Linked DNA regions of Neurospora crassa OR74A. Each later gene encodes a partner of the first gene's protein in a complex. Links are inferred from orthologs where the notes say so. Each region holds a gene or a part of one and is shown in the gene's direction. Other genes may lie near its edges.

Evidence for each region.
Region 2: NCU04009 (region 1) and NCU03159 share a complex: the UniProt entries of both Schizosaccharomyces pombe proteins name them as parts of the RNA exosome complex. The link is inferred for Neurospora crassa OR74A from reciprocal best matches to the Schizosaccharomyces pombe genes rrp4 and rrp43.
Region 3: NCU04009 (region 1) and NCU08026 share a complex: the UniProt entries of both Schizosaccharomyces pombe proteins name them as parts of the RNA exosome complex. The link is inferred for Neurospora crassa OR74A from reciprocal best matches to the Schizosaccharomyces pombe genes rrp4 and mtr3.
Region 4: NCU04009 (region 1) and NCU00812 share a complex: the UniProt entries of both Schizosaccharomyces pombe proteins name them as parts of the RNA exosome complex. The link is inferred for Neurospora crassa OR74A from reciprocal best matches to the Schizosaccharomyces pombe genes rrp4 and rrp41.
Region 5: NCU04009 (region 1) and NCU04155 share a complex: the UniProt entries of both Schizosaccharomyces pombe proteins name them as parts of the RNA exosome complex. The link is inferred for Neurospora crassa OR74A from reciprocal best matches to the Schizosaccharomyces pombe genes rrp4 and csl4.

The regions. Positions count from the first base shown.
Region 1 is NC_026506.1:2,431,013-2,436,451, reverse strand, and holds NCU04009 (exosome complex exonuclease Rrp4), read left to right. Parts: upstream 1-1,790; 5' UTR 1,791-2,073; coding exon 2,074-3,237; 3' UTR 3,238-3,539; downstream 3,540-5,439. Other genes in the region: NCU04010 (malonyl CoA-acyl carrier protein transacylase), read right to left, coding at 1-400, 471-660; NCU04008 (mitochondrial ATPase), read right to left, coding at 3,545-5,439. UniProt on the Schizosaccharomyces pombe protein: Non-catalytic component of the RNA exosome complex which has 3'->5' exoribonuclease activity and participates in a multitude of cellular RNA processing and degradation events.
Region 2 is NC_026501.1:4,750,991-4,756,767, forward strand, and holds NCU03159 (3' exoribonuclease), read left to right. Parts: upstream 1-2,340; 5' UTR 2,341-2,537; coding exon 2,538-3,611; 3' UTR 3,612-4,181; downstream 4,182-5,777. Other genes in the region: NCU03157 (hypothetical protein), read left to right, coding at 1-166; NCU03158 (alpha/beta hydrolase), read left to right, coding at 694-1,959; NCU03160 (hypothetical protein), read left to right, coding at 4,421-4,837, 4,918-5,777. UniProt on the Schizosaccharomyces pombe protein: Non-catalytic component of the RNA exosome complex which has 3'->5' exoribonuclease activity and participates in a multitude of cellular RNA processing and degradation events.
Region 3 is NC_026504.1:3,955,655-3,961,256, forward strand, and holds NCU08026 (3' exoribonuclease), read left to right. Parts: upstream 1-2,493; 5' UTR 2,494-2,686; coding exon 2,687-2,819; intron 2,820-2,878; coding exon 2,879-3,606; 3' UTR 3,607-3,678; intron 3,679-3,740; 3' UTR 3,741-4,438; downstream 4,439-5,602. Other genes in the region: NCU08024 (mannan polymerase II complex ANP1 subunit), read right to left, coding at 68-177; NCU08027 (nucleoside diphosphatase), read left to right, coding at 5,220-5,238, 5,298-5,602. UniProt on the Schizosaccharomyces pombe protein: Non-catalytic component of the RNA exosome complex which has 3'->5' exoribonuclease activity and participates in a multitude of cellular RNA processing and degradation events.
Region 4 is NC_026501.1:7,076,489-7,082,418, reverse strand, and holds NCU00812 (exosome complex exonuclease RRP41), read left to right. Parts: upstream 1-2,495; 5' UTR 2,496-3,102; coding exon 3,103-3,410; intron 3,411-3,519; coding exon 3,520-4,033; 3' UTR 4,034-4,333; downstream 4,334-5,930. Other genes in the region: NCU00811 (hypothetical protein), read right to left, coding at 1-126; NCU00813 (disulfide isomerase), read right to left, coding at 4,334-5,698, 5,776-5,925. UniProt on the Schizosaccharomyces pombe protein: Non-catalytic component of the RNA exosome complex which has 3'->5' exoribonuclease activity and participates in a multitude of cellular RNA processing and degradation events.
Region 5 is NC_026505.1:5,017,936-5,023,469, reverse strand, and holds NCU04155 (exosome component 1), read left to right. Parts: upstream 1-2,709; 5' UTR 2,710-3,014; coding exon 3,015-3,488; intron 3,489-3,562; coding exon 3,563-3,733; 3' UTR 3,734-4,364; downstream 4,365-5,534. Other genes in the region: C-8 sterol isomerase erg-1, read right to left, coding at 1,412-1,749, 1,837-2,269; NCU04154 (hypothetical protein), read left to right, coding at 4,995-5,534. UniProt on the Schizosaccharomyces pombe protein: Non-catalytic component of the RNA exosome complex which has 3'->5' exoribonuclease activity and participates in a multitude of cellular RNA processing and degradation events.

The DNA.
Region 1 (5,439 bases):
ATGCCGTACTCTCCGCCATACATCTCCTCGGCCTGCCGCGTGGCATTGGACATGGCTTCCGCTCGCTTTTGCACCATTCGCAAACTATCTTCAAAATGGATATAGCCGCCTGCGACAAGCGCAGCGAATTCGCCAAGAGAGTGACCGAGAGTAAAGTGGGCATTGTCTTGGACTCTAAAGTTGAAATGCTTTTCGAGAATGCGGATGATCAATATCGAGGTAGCCATGATGGCTGGTTGTGCGTTGGGCGACAGGTTGAGGTCCTTGCCGGGCCCATTTTGTATCACGTCCGAGAGCTTGTGGCCCACTATCGAGTCAATTTCGTCGATGATTTCGGAAGTTGTCGAGGGAAAGGCTTCTAGCCAGGGCGTGAGCATGCCGACTCTTTGGACGCCTTGGCCTGTATATCTCATGGCTGTCAGCATCGTTCTCTGTTCAAAGCAGGACAGCGCACTACTACTACTACGAACCTGGAAAGAAGATGGCCGTCTTTGGCCGCGTGTCTGGTACCGGGAGATGTGTCGCATGTCCTCTACGCTGCCGTACCGCTACCGAGCGCGGTAATGGTGATATCCTGAGGGGTATTTTTGTGGTGACATTGTTGCATGTGAAAGGAGGAAGCGCAAGCGCAGGCCGACGAAGGGGCCCTCGCAAAGGCATATCGGTGTATATGGACCTGGAAACCTCGATTGGTGCCCGTCCCAGGCCGTCCGTCCGTTCGGTCCGTCCGATCTACCGCGTAGTGTAGTGAATCGGTTTCGGAATCTTGGTCTGGTTTCACTGACAGTCTTGGGATGATCCACCGCTATGGTTCCCGATATGTAGTCGATATCCGATCGGCGCCAATCCGAGTAGCACACGGTTATGTCGTAGTCTGGTGGAATCCGACGTCGTGGTAGATGACGTGAATCTCGAATTCAAACAAGTCAGGTATGTTTGACGGCGTGAACCCGCAGCAAGTAAACAATGGGAGCAAATCAAAGAGCAGGACGGACGGGACTACTAATGGCCGTTCAAAGGGATGCCAGCAACTGGTGGAAGAACACGGGATGATCGGCTTTCAACGGTAGCAACAGTAAGGGCCTCCCGGGCAAGTAGGGACGGGTGTATCCTGCAAGAAGTGGAAGCTCGAGAGTGCTGTGTAAGCAGGTACGGACACTGAATCGCGGTAGGTAGGGGCTTACGAGGGCGGTCGAGTCGGTCATCAATGGAAATCTCGCTCTCACTCAACAAACCGCCCTGGAAATCGACAACCGCGGCCGGGAGTGGATCACGCCAGCCAGCGCCCGGGTGGCCCGTTGTCCCGGGGTCTCGGCTTTGTGGAGAAGGTGGGTGGGGTAGTTCCGAACGTCGCAATCTGGATCCATGGCACCTCCAATCGTTGTCACTGGGGCAGGCACTTCACACCTATTCAACGATGACACCCGTCATTGCTGCAGCAGTAGTGTACCTACCTACCGAAGGACCTGACGTGCGACGTCGCCTGGGCTGCCACTGGTGCGGCTACAATACTGTTGGCTTTCAATTTGCAGTAGAAGTAGGTTTGAGGAGGAAAAGGTCCCAGATCCACTCATTGTAGTTACATAAGGTAGTGTAGTTGCTAGATAAAAACCTCAAGGACGCGGACGGGAGGAGGTAAGTACCTGCCCAGCACCTACACAGTACCTGAGTACCTACGTACTTTGCGTGGTGTACCTGCACTGCATGTGCCTCTATTTTGTGCCCGTGCACGACGACAGGCACAACAAAGGCCCCACCAACCGTGTAAAGTTCAATCGTCAATACCGTATCGATTTCAATATCAGAATTTCCAATACGCAAACATTTGAACGTCAACTCATCAACTCCAAAGGGAACTAAGCAACTGGAAGGCCCATACAACATCCTTTGAGGCCACAAGACGAATCGACACAAACAACAAACTTCTGCAGGTCAGGATAGTCACATAGTAGAACTTGAGATTCGAGAAGGTCGACAACGGAACCAGGAAGGAAGGATTCATTCGGACCTTCATCACACCAACAAACACTCAACGTTGAGATCGCCATTTCACACCATCCACAACCACACAACATGCCCATCACAATCCTCCCACCTAAAGCCTTCCGGGACCAACCACCCCGCCACAGCCTCAACCATGACTCCGACGACGTAATGTCCGACGCCACCTCCGACTCTGAAGACTCCGACTCCCAACCGGGCGGCGTCTCTCTCGACGGCGGCGCGACCATCCACCCTCGTAAGCGTCATCGCTCCGGCGCCGGCGCAGCCGCCTCCTCTACCTTCACCAAGCGCCCCAAGACCAACGCTGCCATCAACTCCATCCCGCGCTCCGCCATCGTCACCCCCGGCGAGCGCATCACCACGGACCCCCAATGGATGCGCGGCCACGGCACCTACCTCTCCTCGGCCTCTTTGGGTGAACAAGCCATCACCTCCTCGCTGGCCGGCATCGTGACGCGCACCAACAAGCTTCTTTCCGTCCGCCCTCTGCGCGCCCGCTACACGCCCGAGGTCGGCGACTTGGTAGTCGGCCGCATCGTCGAAGTTCAGGCAAAACGGTGGCGGGTCGACGTCGGGTCCACGCAGCTCGCTGCTTTGCCTCTTTCCGCCATCAACCTTCCTGGTGGCATTCTCCGCAAAAGAACGGAGACGGACGAGTTGCAGATCCGCACTTTCTTTGCCGAGGGGGATCTGGTGGTGGCCGAGGTGCAGCAGCTCTTCCAAGATGGTGGTGCGGTGCTGCACACGCGCTCGCTCAAGTACGGCAAGCTGAGGAACGGGGTGTTCATGGCTGTTTCTGGCACGGGCGGCGGTGGAGGCGTGGTCAGATCGCGCAGACAGGTGTGGACGCTGGAGAGTGCGAATAATGGCGGTCCGATTGATGTGATTTTGGGCGTCAATGGCTATGTCTGGATCTCAAAGCATGTGGAGCCTGTGGTTCCCGAGGAGGCGAAGGGCCAGACGGGCATTACGAACCTCGAAGAGGTGGTTAGTGCTACCATGTATTCGAGCCAGAATGACAGGATCGAGCCCGAGACAATGAGGGAAATTGCGAGGATTAGGGGCGTGGTAACGGCGCTGGTGGAGAATGGATTGCGGGTGGATGAGGATATGGTTACAAAGGGGTATAATGAGGCCGTGGAGCTGGCGTTGGTGAGCGCGGATGGGCCCGAGGATGTGTATTTGGGTGGTGAGAGAGGAGAGCAGCTTGCTGCTGCTTTGACGGCTGTCTAGGTCTAGTTCTAGCTGGGTCTAGGGGCTCGTGTAGTAATGCATTCGGGAACCCAAGAAGAAACAAAATGCTTCCCTATTTGATGGGGTCGCCAATCAGCTTTGAGCCGTTGAAGAGCTTCCATTTATGCAAAACACGACGCTGGTGGTGGCTTGTGAAGCCTCAAAGCCACTTTGATCACAAAATATGGCGGTATCCGGGGAAGTATATCACATAATAGCTTACAAGTCTGCATAGACCACTCGTAAGAGTACATGTAATCATCTTCAGAGCATCTACATGAAAACCAACATCCAACCGTCACCCCCATCACCTCTTCCCCTCCTTCATCTCCCTAACCCTAAACCTCTCCAACCCCACCGGTTCCTCCAGTACCGTCGACTCCCCCATCACAATCTCCGTTTTCTCCTTCGGCCCCGCATTCAACCTCACCAACGGTGATTCCAACGGCTTGCTAACCTCCTTGCCCTCCCAATGCCTCGCCTCCTTGGGCAGCGGCTGCCACCAACCCTCATCGGTCCTAGCATGCCACTGCCTGCTGCACAGCTCCCACAACCGGCTCGTCGCTCTTTTGTACGCAAACCGCTCGTCCTGGCCCGTGAACGCCGAGACGGTCTGGTTGAAGTCCACCTTGCGCGTCAGCGACACTTGCTGCTCCTTACCGAAATCCGAATCCTGGTCCGGGTCATACTCGGAAATGTTTGGACGAAAAGGGGCGATGGAGTCTTGGAACACTTCAGCAATGGTTTCGGAGTAGGTTGCGTCGCCTTCTACTACTGCTGCTGCTACCTGCTCGGTTCCATTGCCCGTGCTTTGTGTTGTTGTTGATGATGTGGTGACTGGTTTGACTGGACGCATCTCGGGAAAGAAGAGATCATCAGGCCCGACCTCGGCGCGGATGAGGAGCTTGCACTTGGATTCGTACAAGGCGTCGAGGAGGGTGATGAAACGGCGGGCTTCGTTCTTCATGGCCAGAGAGAGCACGGGGATCTTGTCGATGATGAAGGTGTGGAAAGTCGACGCCATGGTGAGGTAGTCGGCTGGGCCGTGGGAAGAGACCAGCTCGGAAAAATCCCAGTAGGTGACATCGTTGTGGTAGCGCGGGATGTGTACCTTGCGGCCGTAGACAATGAGGTCAGTTGGGGACCACTGTTGGCCGGTGGCATTTGAGCCGATGACTTGGTTGATGGCGGCTGTCCAGCTTTCTTCGGAGTCAGAGGGGAGGAAGTACATGGATGGTTTTTGAAGACCCTGCTCGATCATGGCCGCCTCTGAAGTTGTTGTTATTGATGGCTCTGTGCCGGGTGATAATGACCCAAAGGCGGGTTGAAAGGAGGCCGTCGCCCCTGAATCCGTCACCTTGTTCACCGCGCCTGTACCTGTTTCGCCCGTCTGGCTCTCCCGTCTCCTCCAGTCTCGGGTACCTTCCATGTGCCAAAAGTCGCATCGTGCTTTGAGAACCTCCAAGAACGCAGCAAAGTCACTGGTCTGGCCAAACATTTCTCCCTGGCGCTTTCCAAAGCCAAAGACCTGCTTGATCAAACCACCGGTTGTGGGCGGGTGGTAATACCCGCCTGTAGCCCTTTCCAACTCCTCGGGCATCCGGTTGGAAGACGCAATGAGGACACCTCCCAGCTGAAAGAAGGCGATAAACAGGTTGTTCATGATTTTGCTCGCTGCCCTGTCGGGAAGCTGGAACTCGTCGAGGAAAAGAATGGGAGACTTCTCCACCATCTCTTTTGCCAACCACAGGAGGGAATACTCTTGGTCACCCATAGCCAACTGGGAATGCGACTTGCGGAACTGCTCCAGTCTGGAGAGGGCGTACAACATGAAGGTGTTGAAGTGCCATCTTTTCTTTCGGTGTGTGGGTAAGCCCTCGGCCAGGAGATCCAGCAGCATGGACTTGCCAGTGCCGACCTCGCCTGACAGGAAAAGGCCCTTGGGCGAGTCAATGTGCAGGGCAGCCTCATGGCTTGTAAGAACTCTTGTCAATGCCAAAGTGTCTCTGTCCTCTGATTTGCGAAAGAACTTGGCAAAGAGAGGGTTCCCCCTGATGGGATGGCCGCGGACGGCCAGCTGGGTCTCTTCGGCCTCAACATTCTCCTTTCTTGCCGAGTCCAAGGCCTTTGTGATCTGCTGGAGTCTTGACTGGTACTCTTGAGAAGGAGTGTAATCCTTCAACCGCAGATAGAGCTTTTGCA
Region 2 (5,777 bases), on another chromosome or scaffold:
CGAGCGTCCACCTCCTCGGAAGCTGGTCAAAGACCCCAACGGCTCCGGCCGGCCGTCATTCTCCGTGGAGCTTTCGGATAGTGACGGGGAGAAGAAAAAGGGTGTCCTACGACGACAGCTTATCAGACTGAGGAGCTTCTACCGACGAGAGAAGTCAGAACCCTGAGGAGGACCGCTGATCTCCCTCAGCTTGCTGCTGACTTGCGAGTTTCATTTTAAAGTCATGATGTTGGCGCCAGGGAAAACGGATCACGACAACTTCAAACTTGTGGTTGGTTGTTCGGAGGATTTCCGTCTCTGGGGAGGAGAGTTACAGTAGGCGCATTTTGCTTGAAGACCCGCTCCGCCGACACCGACACCGACCCGCTTTTCCTTGGCAGCCACTACCATTCCTACGATCACAACTCTCATCGGTTATCGGTTCATGGAAGTCTTTTTGTGCCATGACTAATCGAACTAAACCTCAGCGGATGGACAAATCGACTTCCGAAACTTCCACAGAACACTTCCTTCAACGCGAAAAGTAGACTTTACGGTTTAATATCCTATCCTATCCTGAGGACGCTCTCTGAAGGCCACACATTCACGACCCTTTCTCATCCTTTGAGAGCTTCTAATTCCGAGGCAAACGACGAGCCCTTCCGGGTCAACTTTCAGCGGAGTCGGATCTCAAAACCACACTCTTGCAGCCCCATGATGACGGCCTGGGCGTCTAACCTCCGCCCTCAGGTCACTACATCTTGTCTCGTTCTCGGGGCAGTGGGTGTATCCTTGGGGTTGAGTGTCCGCATACTGATGAGCCAAAACTCGAGCAAGAAGCCAATGATAATCCCATCGCCAAGAGTCACCCACCTTCCACAGTTGTCCAAAGACGAAACCTCCTTACTTCCATACCCCCCAGATGCTCTGCCAGGTGCAAGGGACGTTGAGACCCCATATGGAATCATCAAGGTATTCGAATGGGGGCCTGAAGACGGCGAGAAGGTTCTTCTATTACACGGCATCAGCACACCATGTTTAAGCTTGGGAATCCTTGGAGAGGCGCTCGTGGAAAAAGGTTATAGAGTCATGCTGTTTGACTTTTTCGGGCGCGGGTATTCCGATACTCCAACAGACATCCCCTTTGACATCCGGCTTTACTCGACTCAGATCCTCCTGGCTTTGGCATCTTCAAAACTACCATGGACCGGCGACAACGGATTCCACATGATTGGTTATTCCCTAGGCGGAGGCATCGCCGTCTCGTTCGCCAGATACTACTCGCACATGATCCGGTCCTTGGTACTCGTGGCAAGCGCAGGACTGATCCGGTCAGAACACGTGAGCCGAAGGAGCAGGATCCTTTACTCCGAAGGCCTGCTTCCCGAGAGGCTGCTCCGGTGGCTCATACGCCGACGGATCACTCCCCAGTCAGCGACAACGACATCCGAAGCCAAAATGGCTAGCGAGGTCGTGACCGCCACCAGCAACAGTGAACAGTCCACCAAGAAGCATCACAAAAACAGCGACGCCAGCGGCGGGGACTCATTCGACAACGCGGTTCTCTTGCCGCACAGGCCCAATAGCACAGTTTCCTCGGTGATGGCCTGGCAGGTCCAGCACCAGCAGGGATTCCTCACGGCTTTTATGAGCAGCATTCGGCATGCGCCCATTTACGAACAGCGGAAGGATTGGCTAAAGCTCGGTCAGCTTTTGGCTGCCAGGCGAAAGACTTCTTCTCCTGGTGCCGATGAGGGAGCCGGGGCAGAACCGTTGCCGGGACTTTTGGGTGGAAAACTCTTGCTGATTCTTGGCTCAACGGATCCGGTCATTGTCAAGGAGGAACTGATACACGACGCCACGTCAGTGTTGGGAGAAGATGGATTCAAGGCTGTTGTAATGGATGGTGGTCATGAAATCGTTATGACGAAGGGAAAAGAGGTGGCGGGCTTGGCGGCAGGTTTTTGGTCACGGAATTAGATAACTTGGTCGCAAGGGAACAACCATTGTATATGATGATATGATACGTAGGATATATGAGTTTCTGGATGTGACTGAAGATTTTAAGAATTATAAATTGTCGTGTTTCATTGTGCGAGTAAAAACAGAAGTGGTTCGAGCTGATGCAGTGAAACGACCAAGGGGACTTACTGATTGTTGGATTCATGTCCGCGGGTTACACCTGCAGGAAGTAGAAGTGCCCTGAAAGACCACGCTAGGTTGCTAATTCAGCGGCTGTCAGGCGGTTTCTCAGCGCGCACTTGCTTTGCATGGATCCAGCTGCCCAAAGCAGCCTGGTACAGGGGGGTGTATTGGTCGATCCTCGCTGCCGTGCAACCACAAACCCCACCAAGGCTGATAGCCTTTCAGGTTGGAGGAAATTTCCCAAACAACCTCCTCCAAAACAAATCGCAGCCCTCACCAAACAACGCCACTTCAAGCTTTGTACAGCCAGTTTGCAACTCGACAACGGTCGAATCTGACATATAACAAATCTGAATCACATCAGGCACCATAACAACCACAAGTCACCAAACATCAGAAACCAAGCCGTCACAATGGCCGCTACAGTTCCAGCTCCCTCGCTGAGCTTCTCGCGACCAACCTTCGCCAAGCTCTCGCCTCACCCGTACCTTCTCACGAACCTCACCGACCCCGAAAACCCCTGCCGTACCAACGGCCGCGCCCCACACGAGGCTCGCCCCGTTCACATCCACACCTCCTCGCTCGCCCACGCCAACGGTAGCGCACTTGTCCGCACCGGCGACACCACGGTCGTCTGCGGCGTGCGCGCCGAGATCCTTCCCGTCACCAACATCCCCCAGTACCGGCCGCGGGAGCCCTCGTACGGCGAAGAAGACAATGACGACAGCGCCGATGTCGATGAGCTAAAGGACTACGACCTCCTGGTTCCCAACATCGAGCTAGCCACCGGCTGCGCGCCGCAGTTCCTCCCCGGCGTGCCACCCACGACGCTGGCGCAGACGCTCAGCACGCGCATCTACTCGCTTCTGCACAGCTGCAAGGTGGTGGATCCCAAGGGCCTGAGGGTGTGGTACACTCCGCCTAAGGAGACCAGGGAGGAGGGCGCGATGGAGGTGGATGAGGCACAGGAAGAGGAAGAAGAGGAGGAGGAAAGGAAACCGGAGCTCAAGGCTTACTGGGTCCTCTATATCGACCTACTGTTCGTCTCCTTCGACGGAAACCCCTTTGACGCAGCCTGGACAGCCGTCATGGCGGCGCTGCGCGACACGAAGCTGCCGCAGGCGCGGTGGGATCCGGATCGCGAGGCGGTGGTGTGCTCGCGGAGCGAGGAGGCAAAGATGGCGCTGGATGTGCGTGGACTGCCGGTTGCCTGCACTGCGACGGTGTTCTTAGAGAAGGAGCACGGAGAGGACTCGGGCTCCTCGGCAGAGAGGAAAAGCAGGCACTGGATCCTGCTGGATCCGGATAGGTTGGAGGAGAGCTTGTGCAAGGAGACGGTCACCGTGGTGGTGGACTGCAGTGGGGAAGAGACGAAGGTGAAGAGCATTGAGAAGCATGGCGGTACGGTGATTGGAAGAGAGCTGATGAGGGGGTTCATTGGTGTTGCTGAGGGGAGGTGGCAAGAGGTGAAGGAGGCGTCGAAGTAGAGTGTCGGTCTATGGCAGACAGGCATCTCAGGCTTGTCCTTTTCACGAGTTTTCACATGAACGAGCGTCGAAATGAGAAGAGCAATGTAACGGATTTGATACCCTAGGATGTACGGTTGGACAAATGCACGCTCAGAGTGGTCTCGATTATCACCATTGGTCTTGAAACAACTTATGATACCTCGATAGCCGGTTTGCCACCAACACGATGTTCTGCCAACATGATCATGAAGGCAGACCTACGCAAAGTTCTCAAAGGCAATGTCAGGGGCGGCAAGAAAGTGAAAACGACAACATCAGAACGAACGCGCCTGTTCAGCAGACCATGGGCAGCAAGGAAAGTGGAAGAGAGCATATCCAGGGCGGTCAGGACAGTGGGTTCAGGGCTCGGTTACCCTCTTTCCTGTTACTATCAAGGGAAGGGAATATCTCTTGACTGGATGCAGAAGGGCCATGGCTATTCCTTCCTTGAGATCCCAACCCTGAGGAAGGAACGGCACTCTAACAAAGTGAGTACCTCAATGGTCACTGCATTTCATGAAGTATCATGCAATTGTATCGCACCTTCCATTTTCCAAATGACGATACAGCCAGTGGTGAAAAATTTTACTCTTCTGATATTGAGCCCTTCGCCCTTCTCATCATCCTCTCTCCCCCATCCACGCCTTCGATTCACCCGTCTTGCAGCGTTTCGGAGGCTCACTCAAAGAAGCCAACTATTCCAGCATACCTCCAGTCCGTGCCTGCGCTTGAAAGCCCAGCTGCCGTTCACTTTCAAGTCACGCCGACTCACGCCACCGTCGGTTAATATGTCAGATCCCTCTCAGCCGGCCATGTCCCCTCTGGCTACCTTCCACCCGTTTCCAAGGCTACCCTGGGAATTACGCAATGAGATCTGGAAGCAGTCTATCCGCCCACTTGACCGCCCTGGAGCCCATATCTTTTGCTTGGACCTGCGGGGGCCGGAAGATGTTACAGCAAAGGAATGTGACATTCAATGCCCTCGTATTCTTTCAGTGCCTTTACATTATGAGCGTCCGTGTCCGCCTTTGGACATCGGCGAGAAATTCATTCACATTTCAGTCCCGGCAAAGACCTTATCGTCCGGACCCGACGGTAATCCCTCAACGTATATGGTCGATGGCGGACTTTGGACCGCCTGCAAGGAGTCACGGGCAGTGATGGAATATACGTTCAACCACCAGAAGTGGGATCCGATAAGGAAGGCATACCCAGCATACTGAAGGAGTCACGGGCAGTGATGGAATATACGTTCAACCACCAGAAGTGGGATCCGATAAGGAAGGCATACCCAGCATACTGGAAACTTTGGAAAGATACGCTCTTAGATCGTATGGACTTCGATATGCCTCCTCCCCCTCCTCGTTCACTTGGCAGTGACGACTCGCCTCCTTCTCCACCTCGACCTCCACGTTCGCCTCGCGAGAGGCCCCCCACGCCCGTTGACCCCTACAGCGCAGAGCGCTCATATCGACCGGTACCGGCAACGGCATTTTTCTGGTCATCACCTTCATTGCCCTGTCCGCCGTCCTCTAACGAGCTGGACAAAGCGGACCATTCCACAGGCCAGGCTCCAGCCTCCCCACGCTATGTCACTGTGCTTCCAATGCAGGATCTCATCATCATTCGGCCCTCGAGCTGGACCCCACATATTCATGAGGGTTACTGGCAGGCGTTTGAACACGGGTTTCCATTTGGGGCGGAGAAATATGGCTTTCCTGGATTCTGCGGATGGAATGGATTTGCCATTGAGTACGATCCAAGCTGGGGCGAAGAGCTGACAAAGGGCGCTACTTGGCGTAATGACTCTACGTGGCTTAATGATGGGTCCTTTAAGTTGCCTAACGGTACCGTTGGTATTATGGACATTATCTTCAATGCCGTTTCAAACTTTTCCGAGCATGAGCAGATCAAAACGATTTGGCTCATTGACTACCGACTCAAGCCTAAGCACAATACACCCGCAGCCATCGGAAGGCTGGACAGCAGCCAGAGGGTGTTTCATGGAGGTGATGGGTGCCAGTTTGTAGAAGTGTATCGCAAGTTTGTTGAAAGTGGCGGTCGTTATCTTGATGAGTATTACACCGAGGGCATTGATGGTGAAAACTCAGCCTTGAGCCAAGGATCGTGCCATTGGTTTATTGA
Region 3 (5,602 bases), on another chromosome or scaffold:
CCGCTCCCGTCAGCTTCCAACGTTCGTTTCGTTCGCCTGGTGATTCAGGGGGCGGGGGGCACTTTACCTGTGAGGAGAAATCTCAAAGGTGTTTCCTCGCGGGTACCCATTGGAATATCCGCTCGCATGGTGTCGAGGGACCGCCTTGGACCCGGAGGAAGATGCGTACGGCAGCATTGGGCTGTTTGGTGATAGATGGTCGCTGCAGGGGCGGCCAATATTATCGAGCACCTCAACCCCCCTTTGCGCACACGCAGGGTACCTGAGTCCTGCGAACCGGAAATGCTAACAGATGCTGCAGACTGGGCGGTCTCTCGCTGGATGTTCTCGACGCACGCGCTGCCGAAACTGTGTCGAAATGATAGAGAAGGGACCAGGCCGGTTCAGGATCAATGCATCGCGGTCAGAGAGAAGTTTGGGCGGAAGATCAAGACGATCGCGTTCCTGTAGCACCGAGTCGTTTGATAAAAAGCTGAGGTGTTCGCACCGGGCTGTGGGCAGCTTGACGGATCGATACACGTACTAAGTACCAGTCCAGATAAGATTGGCGGGTTGGGATGGATTTCTTTACCAATGGCGTCGCAAAGTGGCCCGGCCGTTCGACGGGGTCCTGCCAATTGTAGCGCATTTTGCACCCACCCACAAATGACCCCAGACTTGACGCCTTGGTTTCAGGGGTTCTAGTGCAGTGTACAGGATTTAAAGTCGCCAAGGACAAGGCTCCAGAATTGACGGCAAAGTCGACCTGAAACAGTGGCAATGCAAGTACCGTCGAGTCTGTGCCGTAGTTATCATCTGTGTGCAATACAGATGGGTACATCAGGGTGTGTCTTCAATTTATTTGATGTTCAACCTCGAGACACAGATGATTTGAAGGGAAACCGGGCTTACGTCGCGGCAAGTGTCCGGTCATTCGTTCTACTGGGTTTGGACTTCTCCTGCACATCATCAAGGGCAATATCTTGGGTCTGATTGGAGATAATCAACTATTTTGCAACTCTTGTTTTCATTGTTCTATCCTTGCTGATATCTTGAAGCCCTATGTAAATGTCAAGGACAGGCACACCGTCGATCCTCAACTACATCCAATTTTACTGGGGTCATTGAGTTGTCGAGTCATGAACACAAACCTTACCTCGTCAAAGATGCGTTGCAACAAAACGTATGAAACGTTCACGCCATCAACTACTGACCGGTCAGTTCAAGGTCATACGCGAATCGGCATCGAGCAGAAGGCGAAGACGACACAGATCAGACAAGCCGTTTTAACTCAGCCCTACAAAGCCGGCCCAAGCCTCCCACGCCCCAAAACGGTGCGCAGGAGACTCGGACAACGGAAGCCAAATGACACCCCGAAGGGAGACACCACAACTAGTCCTCACGCCCCGAAAGACGCTCCAGTGCGGATGGATGGCTCGGCCCGTACATATCGTTGAATGGATAGACTGTTGTCATCATTGTGCATGGGACAAAGGAAAAAAAAAAAAGGCAAAGTACCTACCAGATGGGCATGTCGACTCTCCCACTAGACGCAAGATCGTTTTCAGATCCTATATAACTTGAAGTTTGTTAGCCAACTTGCTCGCAGCATGTGTGGTGAGGGCTGTCGTTGCAAGAAAGAGTTGGGGTGATTGCCATATCAGAAGGTTTTGGTATAATTGGTTATCGCTCATTATTATTCAGAAGCAGAACTGAAAATATTTTGTTTCATCATGGACAATCGGGTGGGTGATGATGTCAGGTGGGGGAAAGAAAACAGAAAGGAAAACAATGTGATGCTTACCTAGTGGGTAGAGACTGAGAAAACGGAGTGGAACAGCAACGGTGACAATAACAACTTTGTCTGTACTATTGATTGTCAGTCAACGGTTCCTCCAAATGAGTTGCAAGTGAAGGATGTGTTGAAGGAGTAGTCAGATGGTAGTGCATGTTTGTTCGATCGCTCAGAGATTATCGCGAGAACTGTGGTTATGGGATCATCATGAGATGTGAAAGGCAAGGGGAAATAAACTTACTCTATCCGTGCGAACCAACGTCGGCCATGTCAGACAGCCAGGACATGCTCTCTAGCAATGGGGTTCGCCATCGCAGAATAACCAAGAGCATGCCTGGACAGTTGACATGACCATGCCATTGCTGCGCCAGCGCAGAAGGCTGCCCAACCAAAGCGACCATGAGCACGGTAAGACCATGGTATCATGGCTGCTCCCCAAAGACAGTGGCCATATCAAATGAAGGCATTGATCCAATGCCGACAATCGCAAGCCGTTCCTGCCGTTGCGAACGGTGTGGGTTGGTGGAAGAGTTCAAGATGAGGTTGGAACTGAAGGCGGCAGAGTTTTGTAGCTGCGCAAAAAATTCCTCCATCGGTGGCTTTGACATGGAATTCTGGGTGGGGCATGTGGCTGACTGATCAAAATCGACAGTGAATGTGAGGTTGCGCCACAACTACTTGAATTTGAGAGTGGACCCACTGCAGTGTAGACGGCGACTCTCACGTCTTGTTTTCAACAGTCAACAGAGGTACCAACAGAAGTTACCAACCGTGAAACAAGGAAAGCCATACACAGACGAGGTCTCTTCCTCTTCACCTATCTCAGGATTCTTCGACCAGAGAAGGGCATCGGAAACAACACAGCAATCACCAAGCCCACCATATCTCCGGCCCTCGTATCTTGGCTTCAAAATGGCCGACAGAAGACGTATTAACGGACCGGTTGGGACTACCAACCCTCCCATCTATGACGATGCACCCGAGAAGCAATCCGAAGGTTTCAAGGTCACAAGGTCACGCCCGGCGAACGTAATTCGCAAAATGTGTAAGCACGTCGAGGACAAACCCTCCTGTTTCGCAGACACAGACTAACCTCACGTTTAGATCTCAAGACGGGAGTGACACCGTCGGCCTCTGGCTCTGCTTACCTAGAGATCGAGTCGTCTGGAAACGGCGGCTCTGGCTTGAAGCTCAGTTGCAGCGTTCATGGACCTAGAGCTTTGCCCAGGTCAACACCTTTTTCTCCTCACATCATCTTGTCCACCCATGTCAAGTTTGCACCCTTTGCGACCAAGCAAAGGCGTGGTTACATTCGTGACCCGATCGAGAGAGATCTCGGCACTCACCTTGAGACGGCTCTTCGGGGATCTATCATTGCTGACCGTTGGCCAAAGAGTGGAGTGGATATCATCATCTCCATTGTTGAAGGAGAGCAAGATCGGGAGACCTCCAAGGCCCAGGGTATTGAGGCCTGGGACACCATGAATGCCTTGAGTGGCTGCATCACCGTTGCCTCGGCTGCACTTGCTGACGCTGGCATTGACTGCGTCGACACTGTGGCCGGAGGTGTTGCTGCGTTGGTACAGGACGCAGGTAATGACGCTGCTCCCAGCATAGTTGTCGACCCGATTCCTTCTGAGCATGAGAAGGTTCTTGCAGCGTGCTGCATCGCATATCTTCCCACACGACAAGAGGTCACCAACCTCTGGTTCAAGGGTGACCTACCTGCGTCCGATATGGACGTTTATACGCAGCTGATTGAAAAGGGCATTCAGGCTTCCAAGAGCGCCAACCGCGTGCTCGTGGACTGCCTGAACGAGACCGTTGGGTGATCATGAGGTCGGCGCGGCAATGTATTATTTGTTTTAGCTATGCGCGAATGGGAAATACTCGTATTGAAACCTGTAAGTCCATCAACGGGAAAAACGCATGGAATTCTATGGTCTGACGGTTCATGGTCTTTGAGTACCTCTACGATTTTGGTCGATTTATCGACCCGAAGACCAGCTTCTGATGCAATAGGTCGAGCTACCAGCCACTTGGTCTTTCGCAATAGCCCATATGTAGGGCAGAAGTAACGGAAGATGCCAATCGATAGCAGCGACAACAGAACTGCGTTCCGAGGTTCGGCGGCTGACTGCAAGAATGGAATGGTCAACTTCCGGCGGGAATAGTTTCGAGATGCCTGTCAAGGTCTGACAGGTTGAGCGAGCGCTCTTTTGCTGAAACTCAGCTGGAAGATCGCAGTGTGATGGACGAATGACGTCCAAGAAGCGTTGTGGCTGGTATGCAGAGCTACCCTCTGAGGTTGACTGCCGAAACATTATGAACCGCGGGGTATGAGAAGCTTCCACGTTCTTCGCCTCAATGATCGTCTGTTTCTGAAATTGGAAACATGATGTGGGGAGATTACGCGTATCGTTTCGTTCATAGCAGCACGGCATGTTCGAAGCAGGGCAGACATGGCCAAAGGTGGTGGCTGATCATGAACCGAGGTTTCACTATTACTGCGTAGGGCATACATACACTACACCTGAACTACTTTCTTTTCGTGTCCGGCACGATCTAATCACTTTATCTGAAGGGGACTGTGGTGAATAGCTCGTATCTTTATCAACATTTCGAGGTGGAGGTAACATAACATGATCAACTACATAATCTGCACAAAGATCGAGTAACGTTGCGTTATTACCGGCGTTCTGGTCCGTAACTTTCAGCATTACGAACGCCACCAAGGAAACCCAATGGAACTGAAGTCACTGCATCCGAAGGCGGACGTGGTACCACCACTCACATATTGGCACAGTGCCGGCCGCGTTCAGCGACGGGGCGCCCCCCGGCGTGGCGTGGTCCCGGGCCCCTCTTTCCCCTGAACTTCTCCTTATCTGCCCCCCCACGGTCCCTCCAAAAAACTACAGACATTTCCCAGTTCGGCCCACATTGTCCACTCAGGCGGGAATTGTAAAACGACCTGACAATCCAATCTTTCCCGTCATCCTCCAAAATCTCACCTCACCCAGCTTTCGGGCGAGTTTTCTCTCGCTTCGCACCTGGTCATTTCACTTTTCCCAAAACCACCCCTACTCTCGTTTCTTCCGACGGTCCCGGCTGCCTACCTACCTACCTACCTACCTACCTACCACACTGTACACTTTTAATTATTCCATAGTGTTTTGTCCATTCGTTTTGCGGCCGGTAATTCCTCCTTCCAGCCTTGCTTGTACCGTCGATCAATTCGTTCCGTCTCCACTGCGATTCCGCAACAGTTCCAGGTTGTTGATGCCATAATTCCGATGCGGTCGTCCATACAACATTAATTCCCCTATTACGCCATTACCGACGACAACTTGAGCAATCCTCGCCGAACCGAGACAGCTGTGCCTTGTCCGACTTGATTTCGCATTAGTCATTATCCGCTTTATCGACTACTTCTAATCTCTTCTCGATGGGGAAAGACAAGAACTGTACGTCCACCCGCAACCCCCTCAGGTCTTCCAAGATCGCGACACTGAAGCAATGACAGGGCGATGGGGTGTTATCTTGGACGCCGGGTCCTCGGGGACACGGCTACACATATATCGTTGGAAGGATCCCGAGAAGGCGCTTGTAGATGCGACGCCCGAGGAGTTGCGCAGTCTGCCCAAGATCACGACGAAAAAGAAGTGGACAAAGAAGATTAGACCTGGAATATCGACATTTGGGGAGAAGGCTGGGGTAGTCGGCCAAGATTATCTGAAGGAACTCATCGACCATGCGCTCGACATCATACCCGCGGACAAGATCCACGACACCCCTATTTTCTTAATGGCCACGGCTGGCATGCGACTT
Region 4 (5,930 bases), on another chromosome or scaffold:
CTTTTCGGCCTTGTAGAACTTGAGGTCGCGCTGCTGGTGGGCGGCGCGGTGGAGGTGGGCGTGGCCAGAAGGCATGGCCGAGGCGCCGAGGACGCCGGCAAGGACGAGGAGGCTGGTGATCTGCATCTTGTCGGTTTGGATAAATGTTTGTCTAGTTGGAATGGATAGATGGCGCAAAGGATGCTGGGTATATGTCTAGTCTATAGTAGTCGATTGAGATGGGGTGGCCGACGTGGTCTATGTTGTGCAATCAATCCAAGGAGTGTTGGTGTAGCGTGGGACCGCGGTCCAAAGGAATGGCTGCGAGATGGGGATATCTGCGCAAGAGTTGTAGAAAAGAGTGTGGTGAAGCGCAACAAAGGAGGCGTTGTGCGTCGTTGTGGTGTGTTGGATGGAGGAGGAATGAAAATCGCGAGGGAGAGGGAGGAGGGCGTCAAGTGGTTAAAAGAAACGAACGACAGAGCGACAGGAGCTGCCCCTGGTCCACGTTTGTGGTCCCACGGCGCCTGCAGGGGCACGCACACGCATGCGTTCAGGGACCGGCATGCCTTCCACACAGCGCAGTGCGACGTTGCCCGGGGCAGCGAAATGAGGGCCTGGCAGAAATGATCCCTGGCACCTGGAAGATTGGTCTGGACAGGTGAGCCGAGTGGGTCTTGCAGTCCCTGCCACTCGTCAGGGCGGTGATCGTCCCATCTCTCGTCCCTGAGTGGCCAGCAGCGACCCGCCGTCCACGACATCTGCTCAGGTACTTGATGCTTGTGATTGGCTGGCCCCTTTGCTATCCCCCGCCTACATAATTCGCCGGCAGTTCGGTGGAACAATGGAACCCTTCGACGACGCACAAAGGCGTAACGCTGACTTCCAGGTTTGTATTATGCAGCACCTTTGACCCACTGCAAGAATAGGTAGGTCACGTCCAGCTTGCCAAAGTCAAAGAAGCCATTGTTGTTTCGCTGACAATAGACTCGTCATCGTGACCCCATTCGTTGAGTTCCTTTCTCTTCGTTTTCACTCAAAGGGGCCCAAGACAGGACGCACGTGCATTGACTGGTGTTCTGGAGATTAGGTGAGCATGGGGGCGGGAAGGTTCCGTTGCTCTGGCGTCAAGGATAGCAGCGCTAGCCCTGTTTCTCGAAGCCTGGTCGCGGTCGGGTGGTCTGAAACGAGATGAACGGAAACGGGGGCAATGCCAACCAAAGAGCTTTGATCCCTAACACATGTCCGGATTAAGTGCCGCGAAATGTGTTAGCGAGCCCCCTTGGCTAATTCATGGTTCGTTCATCCACAGTTTGATTAAAAGTGTAATGCGAATTGGCGTTGGCGGGTCGTTCCTTGGTAGACTGGGCAACACAGCACTTCCCCATTGCCCCGTTTCTCCGTTCCATTGGACCCCGTGGGCTGGTCGGGCCACCAGCGCAGTAATTCTTCAATGAGTAAGCGCGCACCTCGAGGTTTTCACAGTGAAACGAGAAACAAACCGCGCCTGATGAAACTGTTTAGTTGACAAAGACATTGTGGTCACTGGATGACGACTTGCTCATGGTGGATCTCTGTTCAGTCATATCGATAGACTAGGCCAATTCGTGCTAGCCTGGGCCGGCTGTCTAGGGCTGCATCATGCGCCGACCGACGGCGCCTCCTAGTGTAGAGACTTGATGTTGAACAAGTCTCCCCAAAAACACCAAACGGAATCCTCTTGAACCTTGATCGATTCGCACCCCAGATAGGGAGCTCCAGGAGCATTGGCGAGCGTTCCAGACTTCTAGAACCGGATCACTCTTGGGTCCGAGATGATAGAAGATGACGACGCGCTCAACCGAGGCTTCCAAGAATACAAACCAATTGACATTTCGAACACCCAGCGCATCGCGGTACCCATGAGATGATCTTGGTGGCCGTTGTCCCGTATTCACTTAGCGAAGGGGGGAATGGAGGAATGCCGGTTTCCTCCTTGCTGTTGACAAGGGGTCACTGCCACTGCCACAGTGTGCCCCTGAGTAGAGGTAGCCTACCTACCTCTAGGTAGGCTACCTAGTAGTGATCACTCCTGAGTCCAGACTTCAGGCCCTCTCCTGCTCACAATGCACGATCAAGATCCCATCAACATTGCGCATTCGATTGATATCTTGCCATCAACTCACTGTACCGCTATGAGCTGGAGAGGTCAAATGGGGGCTGTCAAGATCACGTGGAGAGTAGATGGACGGGAACCTTCAATTCCATGTTCCGGGGCCATCACGTCCCGTCCTCTGTCTGCAGCTGCAAACAACTTGCCTACAAGTAGTGTAGAGGTATGCACAGACCACTTGCATGCATTTTCAGCTCCTGATGGAAGCGAAGCAGAACTTAAGCAGAAGCCCTGCGGATGGAACTCCCGTCCTGCCGAGTGAGGTGAGCGGTGGAGCCCGGCACGGCGACCCCGCGAACGTGAGACGCAGCGGATCTTGCCCCGCCCCGCCCAGCTAAACTTTTCCTGTCTTGCCATTGGAAACTTTCGGCCTGGCCCAACCACGTCCGTTTATTCCTAGCAAAAGGCGATTTCAAAGTCAACAACCGTCCACCAGAACCTGCTGTCGATTATTCAGACTGGTCGACCGGAAGCTCCGAATTCCCACTTTGCGCGATAACTTAGTCACTGAAACTGGGGCCCCGACACTTCCGCATTACGCAAGCCTTTCTCTCCTCCGACTCAACGTACCGAGAGCTTGCGCGTCGCTCGCGGCACGATATCGCATCGAATAATCTGTCCCATCGAGCCGAAACTGTACGCACTAACCACGATCTCCCAGATCGAGCTTGGCCGACCCGACTCGAAGAACGACTAGGGTACAACTACAAGCACAACCTGAGCTTGGTGGACACTAAGCAGGGGAAGCAAGAGCAAAAAATCTCGACTCAGGTCCGGCTCCCCAGACAGGCCCTCAGGGCGTTTGTTGTTGTTGATCCTTACTGGATACCGTACCCCAATCTCGACCTTTGGTGTACTCGCTACCTGCCCGGTAGAGAGATTAGCCCGAACCACGATACCCAGAGGAGTAGAGTGAAACGCTAGAACAACAGAACATAGAAAGAAACACCTGTCCACCCAGCTACACCGCTATGCCTCTCGATACTTCAGCATATAGCCTCGCGCTGTTGCGCGTCGACGGCCGCAGGTGGAACGAGCTGCGTCGCATCCATGCCCAGATCCGCACCCAGGCCGCCGCCGATGGCTCCAGTTACCTCGAGATGGGCCACACCAAGGTCATGTGTGTCGTTAACGGACCCAGCGAGCCCGGTCCTCGGAGGGGAGCCACGTCGGGCGGTGGTGGTGGCGGTGGTCAGTCCAAGAACGCCGAGGTTGCTGTAAACATTGTCATTGCCGGGTTTAGCTCGGTTGACCGTAAGCGAAGGGGGAGAGGTGATAAGTAAGTCAAAACACCCAGGGGTTGTTTCCCCCCCAGTGTCAACTACGGCTATTCGTCTGTCACTGTTCGCATAACTAACCCGTCATCCTTCCTTCTTCCATCATCACAGGCACATCCTCGAACTCCAATCGACGATATCTCAAGCCCTCGCTGCCAGCTTACACACCCACCTCTTCCCGCACTCCACCATCAACATCTCCCTGCACGTGCTCTCGCAAGACGGCTCTTTGCTGGCCGCCCTCATCAATGCCGCCACGCTCGCCTGCGTCGACGCCGGCATTCCCATGACAGACTACGTCGCGGCCTGCACGGCCGGCTCGACGTCTACATACGCGGCTAACGACGAGGGCGCCGACCCGCTGCTGGACATGAACCACCAGGAGGAGCAGGAGCTGCCCGGCCTGACGGTGGCCACATTGGGCGACAGCGACCGCGTGGCGGTGCTGGTCTGCGAGAGCAGAGTGCAGGTGAGTCGCCTGGAGGGCATGTTGGCCGTGGGCGTGGACGGGTGTAAGCAGGTGAGGGAGATCTTGGACAGGGTAGTGAGAGAGAAGGGGATAAAGATGATACAGGAGGGCACGGTCGAGAGAGGGGTTGGGTTGAATGACATGGAACTGGATTGAATGGACACTACTGAATCAATGGTTGGGCTCCGGGTCACAGAATCGGATATGGTACGGTAGGTAGCATTACAAAGGCTTGGAGCAAAAAAGAATAGGCAACATGACGAATTTGACGAATTTCACGACTATCAATGTAATCAAAAGTACAGCTCTTGGTCAGGTGAGCAACATGTCGTTTCTGTTAAACGTGCGCCAACTTTTGAAAGCGTTCTCCGAAACTGAAAGGTACCAAAAAACCTTCAACTTTTGACCAGCCATTCACTGACACAAGTCACAGCAAACTACGCTTTCACCAATCTCTCACAGCTCATCGTGACCACTGGCCGTCTTCGACTGGGCCTCAGGCGTCTCCCCCTCCTTTGAAGCAGCCTTCTCAGCCTTACCAGACTCTTTCTTTTCCTTCTTCTTCTCCTCCTCCTCCGTCGAAGAAGCCTCAACAACAATACCCTCCGGCAGCTTTTTCTTGGTGCCCTCGCTCAACCTAATCGCATCAATCCACGCCTCCACCTTGTCATGATCCGAGAAATCATCTCCCTCACCAACAGCGTCGTAGCGTCTCCACCATCCGCGACGGGCGTTGATGACGATGAGTTCAATGTCAGCATCCTCCTTGAGGCCAAGGGATTTGAGAAGGGACGCGCCGGCGGGGTTGGTGTCGAGGGGCACCTCGTAAAAGGGGAAGAGCTTGTGTTGGCCGAGGGCATATTTGAATTTTATTTCGGCGAGGTGGGTGAGGGCCTTTTGGGCTTTTTCGTTGGAAGAGGATACCAGCGCGAGAAGGCAGGTGCTGGATTTGGACGTGAGGCATTCCTTGACGAGCTTTTCGGGGGTGTTGAGGGAGGGGATGGGGAGGGCGGTGTGGATTATTACGGGAATCTCTTGGGTTGGGGCAGGGGTTTCGGAGGACGTTTCAGAGGAGGTTTCGGAGGAGGCGACCTTCTTGGAGTCTTGCTTTCCGTTTTTTTCACCACCGTTGGCCTTGCCGTTGGCCTTACCATTAGCCTTGCCATTAGCCTTGCCATTAGTCTTGCCATTAGTCTTGCCATTAGTCTTGCCGTTGGCCGGTGCTGGGTCCGGATTAGGCTGGGCCGCCTGGGAAAGGAACTCCACCATGGCGGCCTTGTTGATCTCGCCGTCGTACACAATACCAGGGGCATCACCGCCAGGCAACAAGATCAGAGTAGGGAGTTTGTCGACACCGAATGTGGATACCGCCTTGGACTGAGTGTTTCGCACCTGACCGACGGGCATGACACCGAGGAATTCAATGGCGACGCTCTTCAGCAAGGGGGAGGTGGTACCCTTGTCGGTGAAGAGGAGCGCTTTGGCTGTCTCGTTCTTGTCACTCAGGAACTTGTCGAGGTTCTTGTCCTCGACTTTCACGACGTGATTGTTGATGCGCGAGACCACAGCATCGACAATTGCGCTGGCGGTGCGCTGGCCTTGGTAGTCCTCCACTATGGGCTTGCCGTTCTTAGAAGGACGGATGATCTTCAAGGTCGGGAAGCCCTGCACGCCCATGCTGCCGCAAAAGGGCTTGTTGGCGTCCTCATCGCAGTTGACGGCGGCGACCTTGGCCAGGCCTTCGAGGTTCTTGGCAGCCTTTTCGTAGGCGGGCTTGAGGTTTTGGCAGTGGCCGCACCAGGGGGCGTAGAACTCAAGAATCTGCAAGGGAGAGAGGTCAGACACATACATGCATTATTACGATGGCTGATCTAAGATATAGTCGGTCTGGTACTTACAGACGTCTGGTTGCTCTTGGCAATCAATCTATCGTAATCCTTTCCGTCAACCTGCAAAACTGGGGACTTTTTGGTATAAAGGCCCGCCTGGGCTCCGGGGAGCGCAGACAGGATACCAACTGCCAGAGCACAGAGGGTGGAATGATGCATGGTAC
Region 5 (5,534 bases), on another chromosome or scaffold:
CTGATCCTGAGTCTCCATAGTCAAACTACGACAACTCGGTAGTACTAAGCTGAACGAAGTACAATCTACAGTGACAACATGGCGAAGATAACGTCAGGCGCTTAATAGTATTCTCGCAATTTTATATTCCTGAACGTCTCATGAAAGCCACGTTGAAGGTTTGGAAGACTCTAAGCTGGTCTCAAAGCTGTGTTCAACCTCTGTCCAACACTAAACACAGTCTGGTTATCGACAGAGACCCAGACTGACGATCGTAACTACATCTCTCTTGTCCAGCAACAACACTCCCATCATGAGAGCATCATGGCACGAGCAATGCTGTTAAGTATTACGATATGTTATTTTGGAAAATCCAATATTTCTTTCTTTGAATTAATTACCTCAGTCTCATTCAAAAACAAACCAATACTGAAATCACCCACTCCAATGATATCGTGATCTAGTCACACTCGTGTTCACCCATTTTGCCTTATTTATGTAGCATACCTTCCTTCAGGAGAAGAAGAGATCACAGTGGGCAACATGCCAGACTCTAAAGGCGTTGTCCATGGAAAACGTAACCCTCAGTGCTTGTATGCTTTCCCCAAAAGAAAAGTTGATGAAATTGGAATAAATCGAATCGTCATTTGTTCGTAAAACCATTCATCTTCGTCCAGCTTGTCGTTTCGCCGTCCCGTCTCGCGGCGCAGTGGCGTGGTGATGGACTGGCTACTTTGGCCGAAGTAAAATGAGGATAACAGTAAACCGAGGTATAGCCAGCTGTCATCGTAGGAAGGGGGGAATAGACTACTTGGTGGCATGAAGTCTAGAGCAGGAGATAGGCGTGCTGAGAAATGCCGAGGGAGTGTACACATGGATGTTAGGAATCGTGATGTTTGCGCGACGGCGGTTCAGGGGTTACCTAGTGATGTATAGATATGTAGAAAACATGGGCACGGACATGAGCACTTTGCCGAAGAGAGAAGTGAAGAGAGGAGTGAAGAGAGGAGTGAAGAGAGAAGTGAAGAGAGAAGTGAAGAGAAGAGAAGACAAAGCACCAATACAGAAGTCTGTCTGGAAGCGAGCGGGTCAGCTGTACTAAACCAGAACACAGGTATAATAAAGCCAACCCGTGCATTCTCTACGAAGGTTTGTGACAACTACCTCAGGGCAAGGACTCACCAGCGAATGTGCAAACAGAGGCGACGAACATTTCCAAAAGAGAGTATCTTTGTAGTAATGTTTTGACTACGTTACCGTAGATTGTGAATATAGGTATGGATATATCTTGATCTAACCCAAACTCCGGTCTAGCGTAGACGCCGCTTGTGCCGAGAAGCCTTATCTCTACTCTATATTCTATCCCATGGTTTCCAAAACCTTCGTAAGCAAAACACCCTTCGCGAAGGGGACAGTTCGTAAAGCACAATGCTTAGAACTTGCCCTTGAGCAAGTTGCTAATCATCTCGCGGCCGGTGATGACGGAGGTGCGCCAGAGGGTAGGGAAATCGAGCGTGCTGCTGAGGGTATCGGCATAACCGAAGAACAGCATGGGAGGGATCCAGCCGCGCGCATACTCGAGCGCGAAGCAGCTCTCGGGCATCCTGTACTGCTTGACGGTACCGCGGACGAGGTGGTGAACGGAACCGGGAGGGTAGACCTCAGGCTCGTACTCGCCGGGGACGTAGGCAGTCTGAGTGCCGGTGAGGATGTGGAAGTAGTCGTCGGCGGTGTGGCGGCCGGTGTGACCCTCAGTACCGATGGCAGTGCCTGTTGTGTGGAGTGTGCTGTTAGTGATGGGTCTGAAGAAGCGGGAAGCACAAGCTTGCGAAACGCGTGCTGGAGGATGGGGCTTACCAAAGATAATCAGGTACTCGGTGATGGAGGCGTGGATGATGTACATAGCACCCATGGCACCACCAGCGTTGTTGAACACCCACTCCTCATCGTTGTTGACGTAGGGCGCAACGCCGTTGCGGTCGTTCAGCTCGTCGACAATGTACTTGACAATAGCCTTGGTGTCGTTGCCGTGGGCGCTGATGGCGCGCTTGGACAGATCGTGAAGGTGCTCAGTATCGAAGACGTAGAAGGACTCGAGACGCTGCTCCAGGACGTAGGCGATAGGCGCAACTAGGGCGAACAAGATGGCGAAGAACTTGAGCCAGCCACCGATACTGCAGCGGCAGCGGCAGCTGCAGCGGCAAGACGAACCGGAGGAAGAGCGGCCGGAGCTAGAGCCAGAGCCGGACGGCTTGTTGCCGCCGGAGGAGGACTGCTTCTTGGGAGGCATTGTGACGGTTTGTGATTGACGAGACGGCACAATGTCGAGGAGGAGAAACAGGGGAGAGAGAAGACGGGAATCTTGAATTATAAAGAAGCAAAACAATGGCCACAGAGATTCCACCACCGACAGGGGGGTCCGTCAGCCCAACCTCAACAAACCTACCCACGGCAACCCCTGATTTCCTTGTGGAGGACCCTTGTGGTTGCAACATGCCCGCCCAGGCGGGTGTTGCGACTTCCGACACGTTCGATTTTGAGAGCTTTGACCAATAAGGACGCTCAATTGCGCGGATAGCGTTAAACCGATTTCTTGAAGGAGCCACCGCTACGACCAATTGGAGGCAGACACACCGGCAGGCTGGAGTGCATCCAGAAGCTCCGTAAAGCTCCCCTCGCCGGCAGGGCAGCTCAAGTTGCCCGGCAGCACTGTCGGTGCAAAGCACTCAGCGCGGCACTAACAGCGCTCTTGGCACTGACAGGGGTTTCTATTTTTTCGGTGCCCCTCCGTCATTGAGTCCCGTCCGCGGGCCCGGTCAATCACATTTCAATATTCCATCGAATGGACATTTACCTCCACGTACCAGAAGCTCCAATCTCAGTTGTTATCGCCGCGGGGTCCGTTTTGTCGCATCGTTATCTTTTTTTTGTTTAGTTTCCCTCTGCGCGTCGCACCGCGTCTCATACTATACCACTTTTACCCATTCGCAAACTTTTGTCATCGATAGCTCCATCAACCTAGAACGACCGACACAATGGCGAGCACATCCTCTTCCCCTTCGATGGCCATCCCCGGCCAATTCCTAGGCCCTGTCTCCAAGTTCCAACCCGGTCCTGGAACCCATATCCACGAGTCGAACCTCTACTCTTCGCTGCTCGGCGTCGTCAACATCACACAGCCCGCCAAGGCGCCTGGCCCTGCTAAGCGCTTGAACAAGATCATCAACACCCAGACCACGCCCGCCGAGCTACCGACCATCTCGGTATTGCGTTCAGCGGGTTCGTCAGACAAGCGCGAGGTGCTTCCTGAAGTGGGCAACATCGTGCTATGCCGGGTGATTCGCATCATGCCGCGCCAAGCCGTTGTGGCCATTCTAATTTGCGGCGATACTGTTTTGGAGGCCGAGTGGCAGGGCCTGATCAGAGTGCAGGACGTGAGAGCAACAGAGAAGGACAGGGTAAAGATCTACGACAGCTTCAGGCCTGGAGATATTGTCAGGGCCGAGGTGGTGAGTGCTCTTCTCCTCTCCCTTTCTGCCAGACATGGACTGAACACTTCCGCTAACGTGCTGCCACCCACTAGATTTCTCTTGGTGACCAAGCCAGCTACTACCTGTCGACAGCGCGTAACGAGCTCGGTGTCATCATGGCGACAAGCGAGGCCGGTAACACCATGTACCCCGTCAACTGGAAGGAATACAAGGACCCTGAGACGGGGCTAAGCGAACCCAGAAAGGTTGCGAAGCCCTACTGAAGTCGGCGGATGGAGTTTCGAAATGAGACATGAAAAAGATGCTTGAAAAGCAATGCATAGCGGAGTTACTAGCTTGAGGTACAGCGTGTTATCAAGGCGATACGGGCGTTAATCTGCTCGGAGAGCTCGCCGAGTAGTGAAAGCAGGTGCTCAATCAGTACCCGGTTGGGGACTTGCAAATGCGGCGGCACGTCGAATGTCGAGCTCTCACGGTCCGCCGGTCCATCATCGACACGGTCGGCCACTCGCATCACAAGCAAGCATCCCAGCGACAAATCCAAGCCCAGAGATGTCCTGGCCCCAGAGTTTCCGGCGGATACTCCAGGTACGCCAAGTTAGACCGCGCAGAACATGGTCTTGGGTGATAGGGCTCGCACTCAGAGAAGTATGGAGATGGGTACATGTCACGATTCACTCTTGACACAGCGGAACAACACAGTCATGATACAGCGCCTGTTTCAGGGATAACGAAGACGATGGCGAGTTAGTATGATCTTGTCACGTCGAGGAAAGATATAGTGACGCCAGACACGGCTACGCCTGTCATTGCATCAAGAAACTGGATACCCGTTTAAAATCTGCATAGAAGATACCAATAGCCTTCTTCATACGTACCTTACTATTCCCTTGCATACCTAGGTACATACCTCATCTGTTGTCTGTGCCGTCATCCGCCGCCTGGGCCAAACGTTAACGAGTGCTGTTTCTTTAAGGCGGCTCAAGGGCGGCTTGGCGTCTCGTATACCCCCCACATGGGCCTTGCATCGTGCATGCGGTACCTACATACCGCTGAAGATCATCGGAACGGCGGGGGGGCGTAGAACGGGGGAGGGCGGTAGATTCCCGTACGTCACCGAAACCCTGCGTGCCTAGAGGTACCTAGACACATTCATTCCACCCATTTCTTGTCCTCCCTTTTACAGCTTTGTCATTCTTCAAAAAAGGAGGAGGCAGAGTGGGAGCTCTGGCGGCGTGTTGGTTAGCGATCTCACTCAGCGCCCCCCAGATACACAAAACAAAGTCTAAGACGAAAACAACAAGCTCCCTGCCCCTGTTTCAACGGGAACCAGTCCATCCCCACCGCAACGGCGTCTCCATCTAGTTTTCTTGTTCCTGGCAGGAGTCCACTTCGTTCCCGAGAAGAAAATATCGAGATCAGACGAACCGCTTCAATCCATCATCTTTGATTTTCGTCCAATCCGACAAGACGCGCGAACTCTCCTTGTCGATATCATCTGTCCTAACGGGGCCCTGGTGAGCCATGTCAACCACCGCCACCATGACGATGACCGCCGCCCCCGTCATCGTCGAACCGGTCACCCAAACGTTATCTACCGCTCCTTGCTGCCCACAATGCGGTATCGATCTCGAGGGGACCCAACCCTTCTTGGAGATGCAGGCGGCCGTTCTCGATGCCCACAACAAGATCCAAGAACTTCAAAGCCAAGTGCGCCTGCTCAACGAAAAGGCTTCATCCGCCGTCGATCGTTGGGCCGACTACGAAGACGAGATAGCCCAACTACGAGGGCAACTCAAACAGCAGCAGCAACAACAACAACAACAACAACAACAACAACAACAACAACAACAACAACAACAACAACAACAACAACAACAACAATCCCAGTCCTCCCCAGTTGCGTCCCAAATATCATCACCGCAACAACAGCAACAACACGCCGATGCAGCCCTCGCCACCCCTCCCCAATCCGCAACCCCCTCCACCACTGCAACAGCCAACGCCTCCCCCGCCGCCCCTCGCAGCGTCAGCTCCGTCTCCTCCTTCCTGCCCACCGGCGCC